Linked DNA regions of Macaca mulatta. The main gene of each other region encodes a partner of the protein of the gene in region 2 in a complex. Links are inferred from orthologs where the notes say so. Each region holds a gene or a part of one and is shown on either strand. Other genes may lie near its edges.

Region 1 (3,808 bases), on a different chromosome or scaffold from region 2:
TGCACCCTAGTCTGTGTCACTGCAGGTACTCCCACCTACCACGTAAATGGGCGGGGCGCACTCTGTTTTCTGGATATGCTCTCACGTAGCTCACTAATCTCTTATTCTAGATTCTTTCTGATTCTTACTATGCTGAATGCCACAGTGAAAATTCTAAATTGTAGTGTATGTCCTGCATTATTTCCTTAGGCGCCATTGTACTTCAGCCTGGGTAACAGAGCAAGATCCTATCTCAAAAAAAAAAAAAAAAAGCAAACATGCTTATGATAGTACATTTTAAAAACATAGAAGATTGGACAATTGGAAAAATCTCCATCAAAAATAATAAATAACTTAAAAATAGCAACCTTTTGGGTATGTTACCGTCCAATACTGTTTTCTGTGTACTTTTATTTTTTGTCTCGTTTTGCAGGAGTTGTAATGTATATGTAGTTTTGTACCATGATCCTTTTTTATTTTTTTTGAGACAAGGTCTTGCCCTATTGCTCAGGCTGGAGTGCAGTGGCGCGATCTCAGCTCGCTGCAGCATCCACCTCTGGGACTTAAGGGATCCTCCCGCCTCAGCCTCCTGAGTAGCTGGGACCACAGGCGTGTGCCGCCATACCCTGCTCGTTTTTATTAAAGATGCTCCCCCTTTCTGGGGTCCCACCTCCTCCTCTGGGATTTGGCTCTGGCTTCCCTGCCTACCCCCGCTGCCTGGACTAACAGGAGAGCAGGACAGTTACGGTATAGAGCAACACCAGAAACATGCTGTATTGATTATAGTTTGTTGTTTTTTCTTGTAGAGGTGGGGTCACACTGTGTTGCCCAGGTTGTTCTCCAACTCCTGAGCTCGAGCGATCCACCTGCCTTGGCCTCCCAAATATTAGGATTACAGGCATGAGCCACCTCACTTGGCCATGATCCTTTTTTAACTTGATCATACAGCCGTTTGTAAATCTCATCATCTATGGCAATAACGTAACTGGCTCCTTGTCCCCCTGAGCATTCAAGTTGTCTCTAGGTAGGTTTTCATTATTGTGAATATGTTATGCCAAACTTTTTTTTTTTTTTGAGACAGAGTCTCACTCTGTCATCAGGCTGGAGCAGTGCAGTGGCACGATCTCGGCTCACTGCAACCTCCGTCTGCTTCCCGGGTTCAAGTGATTCTCCTGCCTCAGCCTCCCGAGTAGCTGGGACTTTAGGCATTCGCCACCACACCAGTTAATTTTTTGTATTTTTAGTAGAAGGGGTTTCACCATGTTGGCCAGGATGGTTTCGATCTCCTGACCTTGTGATCTGCCCACCTCGGCCTCCCAAAGTGCTGGGATTACAGGTGTGAACCACCGTACCCGGCCTGTGCCAAACGCCTTTGCACACTAAAGCTTTCTCTGTATTTAGGGTTATTTCCTTAGAGTCATGGAAGTGGAATTGCTGCACCACAAGACCTGTAAATACATGATAGAGCTTTTGATCAAAGTGATGAATTCTGCTTCAGAGGATGGTGCTTTCATTCTGACTGGTTAAAAAGGCTGCTTTCATTGTGAACTGCTGTCTCCAGCTTTCTTTGAGTGAAGACAAGCAAAGCGAGTGGGACACAGCCTAGGCGCAGAAGGTGAAGGCTGGGCTCTCCCCATGGTGGCTGCCAGCCCACTGCAAGGGAGGTCATGAGTGTGGCGGGCAGCAGTGGGAAGCCGAGAGCTGCCACAGCTGGGAGATGACTCCCCAACCCAAGCCCCCCTCATGCTTGTCACTAAAAAGAGAGTGAGAGCAAAACTTGTGGCTACGATGCAGACAAGCCCGCCTTTTTCTCATGCAGATGTGGCGTTTCCCGTGCAGGGAGGCAGCCAGAAACCAGCATATGCCCTTCTCTTCCCAGCCAGCAGCCCAGGAACGGCAGGCACTTTGAAGGAGAGGCTCCTAACCCCCTTTCACGGACATTCGCAGGGAGTCAAGGTGGATGCGAGAGACCACAGTGGAGCCACAGCCCGGATGCTGGCCAAGCAGTACGGACACATGAAGATCGTGGCCTTGATGGACACTCACTCGCCCTCTCTGCCCAAGAGCCTCTATCGGAGCCCAGGTACCCACACCTGCCAGCCGTGCCCTGCTGGGGTCTCTGGTTGTCTTCAGCTTCAGGTGACCTGGCAGAGAAAGATGTCCCCCTCTTCCCCGGCTCCCACCTTCTCCTCTGAGATTTGGCTTTGCCTCCCCCAGCTGCTTCCATGTCAAGGTTGAGGCCGCTGCTCTAACAGGAGAGAAGGATGGTTATGATGGAGAGTGGCACAAAACCAGGCTGTCGTGACTGTAGAGGCTTTCTGTAGTATGCTTGACTACCGAGTCGCGGCAGGCCCCCTTAGTTTTCTGTTTTCACCGTTTCCTGGGCTATGGCTTATTCATTTTTCTGTATGAACTTGAATATCAACTTGTCTAGCTCCTTAAAAACAGCTTGATACTTTTATGGAGATTGTGACAGTGTATGAATTAACTCTATCTTTGTGGTGTTGAGTTGTCCTGTCTAAGAACAAGGGATGTCTTCTTGTTCCAGTGTACTTTTGGGTCTTGCAGGAGGGTTTTAAATTTTTCTTCATCTATATTTTGCATATGACTAGTTTGTTCCTAAGTGTTTGATCATCTTTTTTCCTATTGTAATGGGATTTTCCCTACCATTATACCCCTTTTTTTCCCCCAAATCTCAGGGTATTAATTATTCAGTGCTATTTATTTTTTATTTCAGTAGGTTTTTGGGGAACAGGTGGTGGTTGGATATGTGAATAAGTTCTTTAGTGGTGTCATTATATCGTTTAACTGCATATTGTCAGTGCATTTGAAGGCAGTGGATTTCTGCAAACTTTTTTTTTTTTTGAGATGGGAGTTTCGCTCTTGTTGCTCAGGCTGGAGTGCAGTGGTGCAATCTCGCCTCACCGCAGCCTCCGCCTTCCAGGTTCAAGCAATTCTCCTGCCTCAGCCTCCAAAGTAGCTGGGATTACAGGCGTGCATCGCCATGCGTGGCTAATTTTTTGTATTTTTAGTAGAGATGGGATTTCTCCATGTTGGTCAGGCTGGTCTCAAACTCGTGACCTCAGGTGATCCACCAGCCTCGGCCTTCCACAGTGCTGGGATTACAGGTGTGAGCCACTGCGCCCGGCCCTGCAAACTAATTTTATATTCTGCTACCTTACAGAATTCTTGTATTGTTCAGGTTAGTTTTGTTACTGATTCTTTAGGGCTTTACAGGTGTACTAACATATAATCTTTAAGTATCGATGAATACACTGCTACCTGCTGATTCTTATGACTCTGACTTTGTTGAATTGCATTGTTCTTTGTTTAGTTGCTGACACCTCTAGCCCGTTGTTCAGTATAGTGGAGACTGTGCGCCTCCTCACCTTGGTCCTGATCTTAGTGGAAACGCCTCATTATGTGAGAGCGAAGGCATATGTTATTTTACCATATTAACAAAGTATTCATCAGTTCTTGTATTCTTGAGTGGTGTTTTACTGGAGTAACTATTGAATTTTGTTTCCTTATCTTTGGAGACGACTGTGAATTTTCATATGGTAGCTTGTCTTCATGAACCTCCTAATAACGAATCAACTTTACATTCTTGGCATAAATCACACATGTTGTATTATTTTAATGTGTTTTTGAATTCTGTTTATTAATATTTAGTATTTCTCAATGGATACTTAGTCATAAGTGATATTGGTCTATAGTTTTCTTTCTTCTTTTTTTTTGTTTTTGAAATGGAGTCTTGCTGTGTTGCCCAGGCTGGAGTGCAGTGGCAAGATCTCAGCTCACTGCAACCTCTGCCTCCTGGGTTCAAGCG
Region 2 (4,399 bases):
TTGACCCAGCACTCCTACTACCAGGTATATATTGAAAGGAAAATAATTCATTCTATCAAAAAGACACCTGTATGTTCATTGCAGTGCGGTTTACAGTAGCAGGGATATGGAATCAACCTAAGTGCCCATCAACAGTAGATTGGATAAAGAACATGTGGTACAGAGTCATATGTAATGGCTCACACCTGTAATCCTGGCACTTTGGGAGGCCACAGCGGGCGAATCACTTGAGCTCAGGAGTTTGAGACCAGCCGGGCAACATGGTGAAACCCTGTCTCGACCAAAAATACAAAAAATTAGCTGGGTGTGGTGGCACTCGCCTGTAGTCCTAGCTACTCGGGAGACTGAGGTGGGAGGATTGCTTAAGCCTTGGAGGCAGAGGTTGCAGTGAGTAGAGATTGCACGATTGCACTCCAGCCTGGGTGACAGAGCAAGACAGAGAGAGAGAGAAAGAGAGGGAGGGAGGAAGGGTGATAGGGAGGAAGCGGGATAGGTAGGGAGGGAGGGAGGTAAGAGAGGGAAGGAAGGAAAGAAATGTGGTGCATATACACGATGGAATAAGATGGAATACTACGGAATACTATGAAGCCATAAGAATGAACGAAATCATGTCCTTTGCAGCAACATGGATGGAGCTGGAGGCCATTATCCTAAGCGACCTAACAAGAACAGAAAACCAAATACTGCATGTTCTCACTTATAAGTGGGAGCTAAACATTGAGTACACATGGACACAAAGATGGGAACAATAAACGCTGGGGATCGCTAACCAGGGAGGGATAGAGGGAACTCTAGGCTGAAGAACCTCTTGGTGGGTATTATGCTTACTGCCTGGGTGACGGGATCGTTGGGACTCCAAGCCTCAGCGTCGCGCAGTGTACCCATGTAACAAACCTGCACGTGTACCCTTTAATCTATAATAAAAGTTGAAATAAAAGAGAGAGAAAAGGTACAGGAGGCGCTTGTAGCCCCAGCAGCCCGGCCCAGATGAAGGAGGGGCATTAAGGGCACTGCAGGACACTGTGAGGAAACAATAAACCCGCTCGTTCCTTAATTCAGCCGCTTCCTTATTCTGGAAGCGCAGGTTCAGTGCCAGAGGCTGGGGTGGGGTCAGCGGAGCCCGCTAGTAAAGTCAAGGGCCATGCAGCTGCGGACTCAGACTCGGGCCCAGGGCCCTGGCCGCAGCGTGAAGAGGGGATGGGGTCGCCGCTCCCACCTCTGCCCTGGCAGGAAGTCTCTGGAGCTCCGGGACAGGGCAGCGAGCGGGCGCCGAAGAGGCAGAAGGGGACACGCGGGCCTGCAGCGGGGTCTCCTCTGAGCTTCCCTGGACTCCCAAGTGCGGGCACTGGAGGTGCGCAGTCCTGGCCTTGGCGCGCTCCCGGCACAAAGTAGGCGCGCGGCCCCGGCTCCAGCGCGCTCCCGGCACACAGTAGGCGCGCGGCCCCGGCCCCGGCGAGCTCCTAGCACACAGTAGGCGCGCGGCGCGGGCGGGCGGCCGGAAGGGGGCGCCGGCGGGCGGTATCCGGGGGCGGAGCCGACGCGGCCGGCAGGGCGGACGGGCGCGGGCCGCGCGTGGCTACGGCGATGGGCGAGGGCGGGCTGCCCCCGGCCTTCCAGCTGCTGCTGCGCGCGTGTGACCAGGGCGACACGGAGACCGCGCGGCGGCTGCTGGAGCCGGGGGCAGCGGAGCCAGCCGAGCGCGGCGCGGAGCCGGAAGCGGGCGCGGAGCCGGTGGGGGCCGAGGCGGCCGGGCCCGGGGCCGCAGCAGCGGCGGCAGTCGGGGCTCCGGTGCCCGTGGACTGCTCGGACGAGGCGGGCAACACCGCACTGCAGTTCGCCGCGGCCGGGGGCCACGAACCGCTGGTGCGCTTCCTGCTGCGCCGCGGTGCCTCGGTCAACAGCCGCAACCACTACGGCTGGAGCGCGCTCATGCAGGCGGCCAGGTGAGGCGGCGGGGCTCGGGGGCCCTGGACGCGGCCCCGGGCGGCCGGATCTCCCCGGCGGCCAGATGTCCCGGGAGGTAAAGAGTTAAGGACTCTTTAGAGTTGGGATGGTAAACTTTGAGTAGTCTTTGGTAAACTTTGAGCATAGAAATGGAAATACTTTTGTATTAACATAAAATCAGATTCTTAGAAACTTTGGCCTTTCAGAATAGAATCTGGAGACAACGAACAGAATCGTAGAGACTTAGAACCTTAGAGATTTAATTCATTTCTTTTTTTTTCTTTTTTTTTGAGATGGAGTCTGGCTCTGTCGCCCAGACTGGAGTGCAGTGGCGCGATCTCAGCTCACTACAAGGTCCTCCTCCCGGGTCCATGCCATTCTTCTGCCTCAGCCTCCCGAGTAGCTGGGACTACAGGCGCCCGCCACCACGCCCGGCTATTTATTATTATTATTATTATTATTATTATTATTATTATTATTTTAGTAGAGGCGGGGTTTCATCGTGTTAGCCAGGATGGTCTTGATCTCCTGACGTTGTGATCCGCCTGCCTCAGCCTCCCAAAGTGCTGGGATTACAGGCGTGAGCCACCGCGCCCAGCCTGATTTAATTCATTTCTCATTGCAGTAAGGGTTTCCTCAGAACCTGCTTTCCCTTCCTGGCTTGGCGTTGAGGATGTTCCGAGACCAGGCAGAGTCACCACCAGGGCAGTGGTGGACAGGCCAGGCAAAGGAACGAGCTTGACCGGAAAGGTTTGAGTAGCTCTGGGGGCAGTTGACCCATTTTGGAGACGTTGGGGAAGGTTTCTGGTAGAAATGATGTTTATATCCACGTGGAGATAACCTCCACGTGGATGCCTGAGAATTAGCCAGGACAGAACAAGTGGGATGTGGGAAGGGCATGATGGGAGGCCCATGCAAAGGCTTGGGTGCACGAGCTGGTAGGACTAGTAGAATTATGTATGAGTAGAATGATGTACTAGTCCCCCCTGGAGAGAAGGCGGTTGCCAGGGAATGGGGGGAGGGGGGAGCTGAGGAATTTACTGAGTGAGGTTTGTGACTGCAGCACTAACGTGCCTCGGAGTGTCTCGGAGACCCCTGATCACCAGTTTTAACCAAGTCCTGCAGGATAGTCTGAGCCTGGGTATTTTAAAATGTGCTGTTCCTCAGTTGGTGTGACACCGACTATATATTCAGGTAGCATCTCTGCCTGTGTTGAGTTGTGCTCCGGCTTTCTGCTGCGTAATTCATACCAAAAGGTCAAGTTGAGGAGTAGTATGTATGGAAGACTTCCAGAAGGATGTATAGTGTGTCTGTCCCTCATATCAGGGTCAGCAAATGCATGGCCCATGTGCTGACACTTTCCAAGCCTTGTGCTCTTCTTCCTTGGATCTGGATATGCCCCAGAATCCTGCTCAAAACCGCACCCCTGGCAGCCACCACACTGGGTCTAAGCGAGCATCTATTTATCATCCCAGCTCTCTGTGTGCATCAGGCCAGACTGTCAGACACCCTGTGCCTTTGGACTCTTGTGGGTGTTTTAGTATTAGAAATGGTGACGTTAGTGTTTTTTCTTTTCTTTCTTTTTTTTTTTTTTGTTTTGAGACAGAGTCTCGCTGTCACCAGGCTGGAGTACAGCGGCGCGATCTCGACTCACTGCAACCTCCACCTCCCGGGTTCAAGCGATTCTCCTGCCTCAGCCTCCCAAGTAGCTGGGAGGCACGTGCCACCACGCCCGTGCCACCCTGCCCAGCTAATTTTTGTATTTTTAGTAGAGACAGGGTTTCACCATGTTGGCCAGGCTGGTCTCGATCTCTTGATTTCGTGATCCACCTGCCTCAGCCTCCCAAAGTGCTGCGATTACAGATGTGAGTCACCGTGCTCCGCCGTGTTTTTTCCTGTTCTTAAAATAACAGGTAACCTTTGGCTGGGTGCGGTGTCTCACGCCTGTAATCCCAGCACTTTGGGAGGCCGAGGCGGGCAGATCACGAGGTCAGGAGATCAAGACCAGCCTGGCCAACACAGTGAAACCCTGTCTCTACTAAAAATACAAATATTAGCTGGGCGTGGTGGCGTGGGCATGGTGGCATGCGCCTGTAGTCCCAGCTACTCGGGAGGCTGAGGCAGGAGAATCGCTTGAACCCAGGAGGCGGTGGTTGCAGTGAGCTGAGATCCTGTGACTGCACTCCAGCCTGGCAACAGCAAGACTCCATCTCAAAAAAAAAAAAAGTAACCTTTATGGAGCACCTACTTTCAGTCAAGCACTGTGCTAAGTGCTTTAAATGAATTAACTCATTCGATCTATACAAAACCTTAGGAAGGAGGTACTCTTGTCATCCTCATTTCATAGATGAGGAATTGAGGAACAGAGAAGTTAAATAACTTGCCTCAGTCACATAGCTACCAAGTCGCCAGACAGATGCACACTTAGGGAGGTGGCTCCAGAGCCTGTGCTCCC

Evidence for each region.
Region 1: the proteins of ANKS6 (region 2) and ANKS3 are in contact, whole or in part, in a crystal structure (PDB 4NL9), measured with the Homo sapiens proteins. The link is inferred for Macaca mulatta from reciprocal best matches to the Homo sapiens genes ANKS6 and ANKS3. Residues at the interface, in NP_775822.3 of Homo sapiens: Glu796, Gln797, Glu798, Val799, Asp800, Glu802, Ala803, Thr806, Leu807, Asp811, Glu814, Leu815; in NP_597707.1 of Homo sapiens: Lys441, Tyr442, Thr470, Leu471, Phe472, Gly473, Pro474, Arg476, Lys477, Arg484.

The regions. Positions count from the first base shown.
Region 1 is NC_133425.1:5,973,447-5,977,254, reverse strand, and holds part of ANKS3 (ankyrin repeat and SAM domain-containing protein 3), read left to right. Parts: intron 1-1,858; coding exon of another isoform or gene 1,859-1,926; coding exon 1,927-2,062; intron 2,063-3,808. UniProt on the Homo sapiens protein: May be involved in vasopressin signaling in the kidney.
Region 2 is NC_133420.1:59,611,147-59,615,545, forward strand, and holds the start of ANKS6 (ankyrin repeat and SAM domain-containing protein 6), read left to right. Parts: upstream 1-1,524; 5' UTR 1,525-1,584; coding exon 1,585-1,943; intron 1,944-4,399.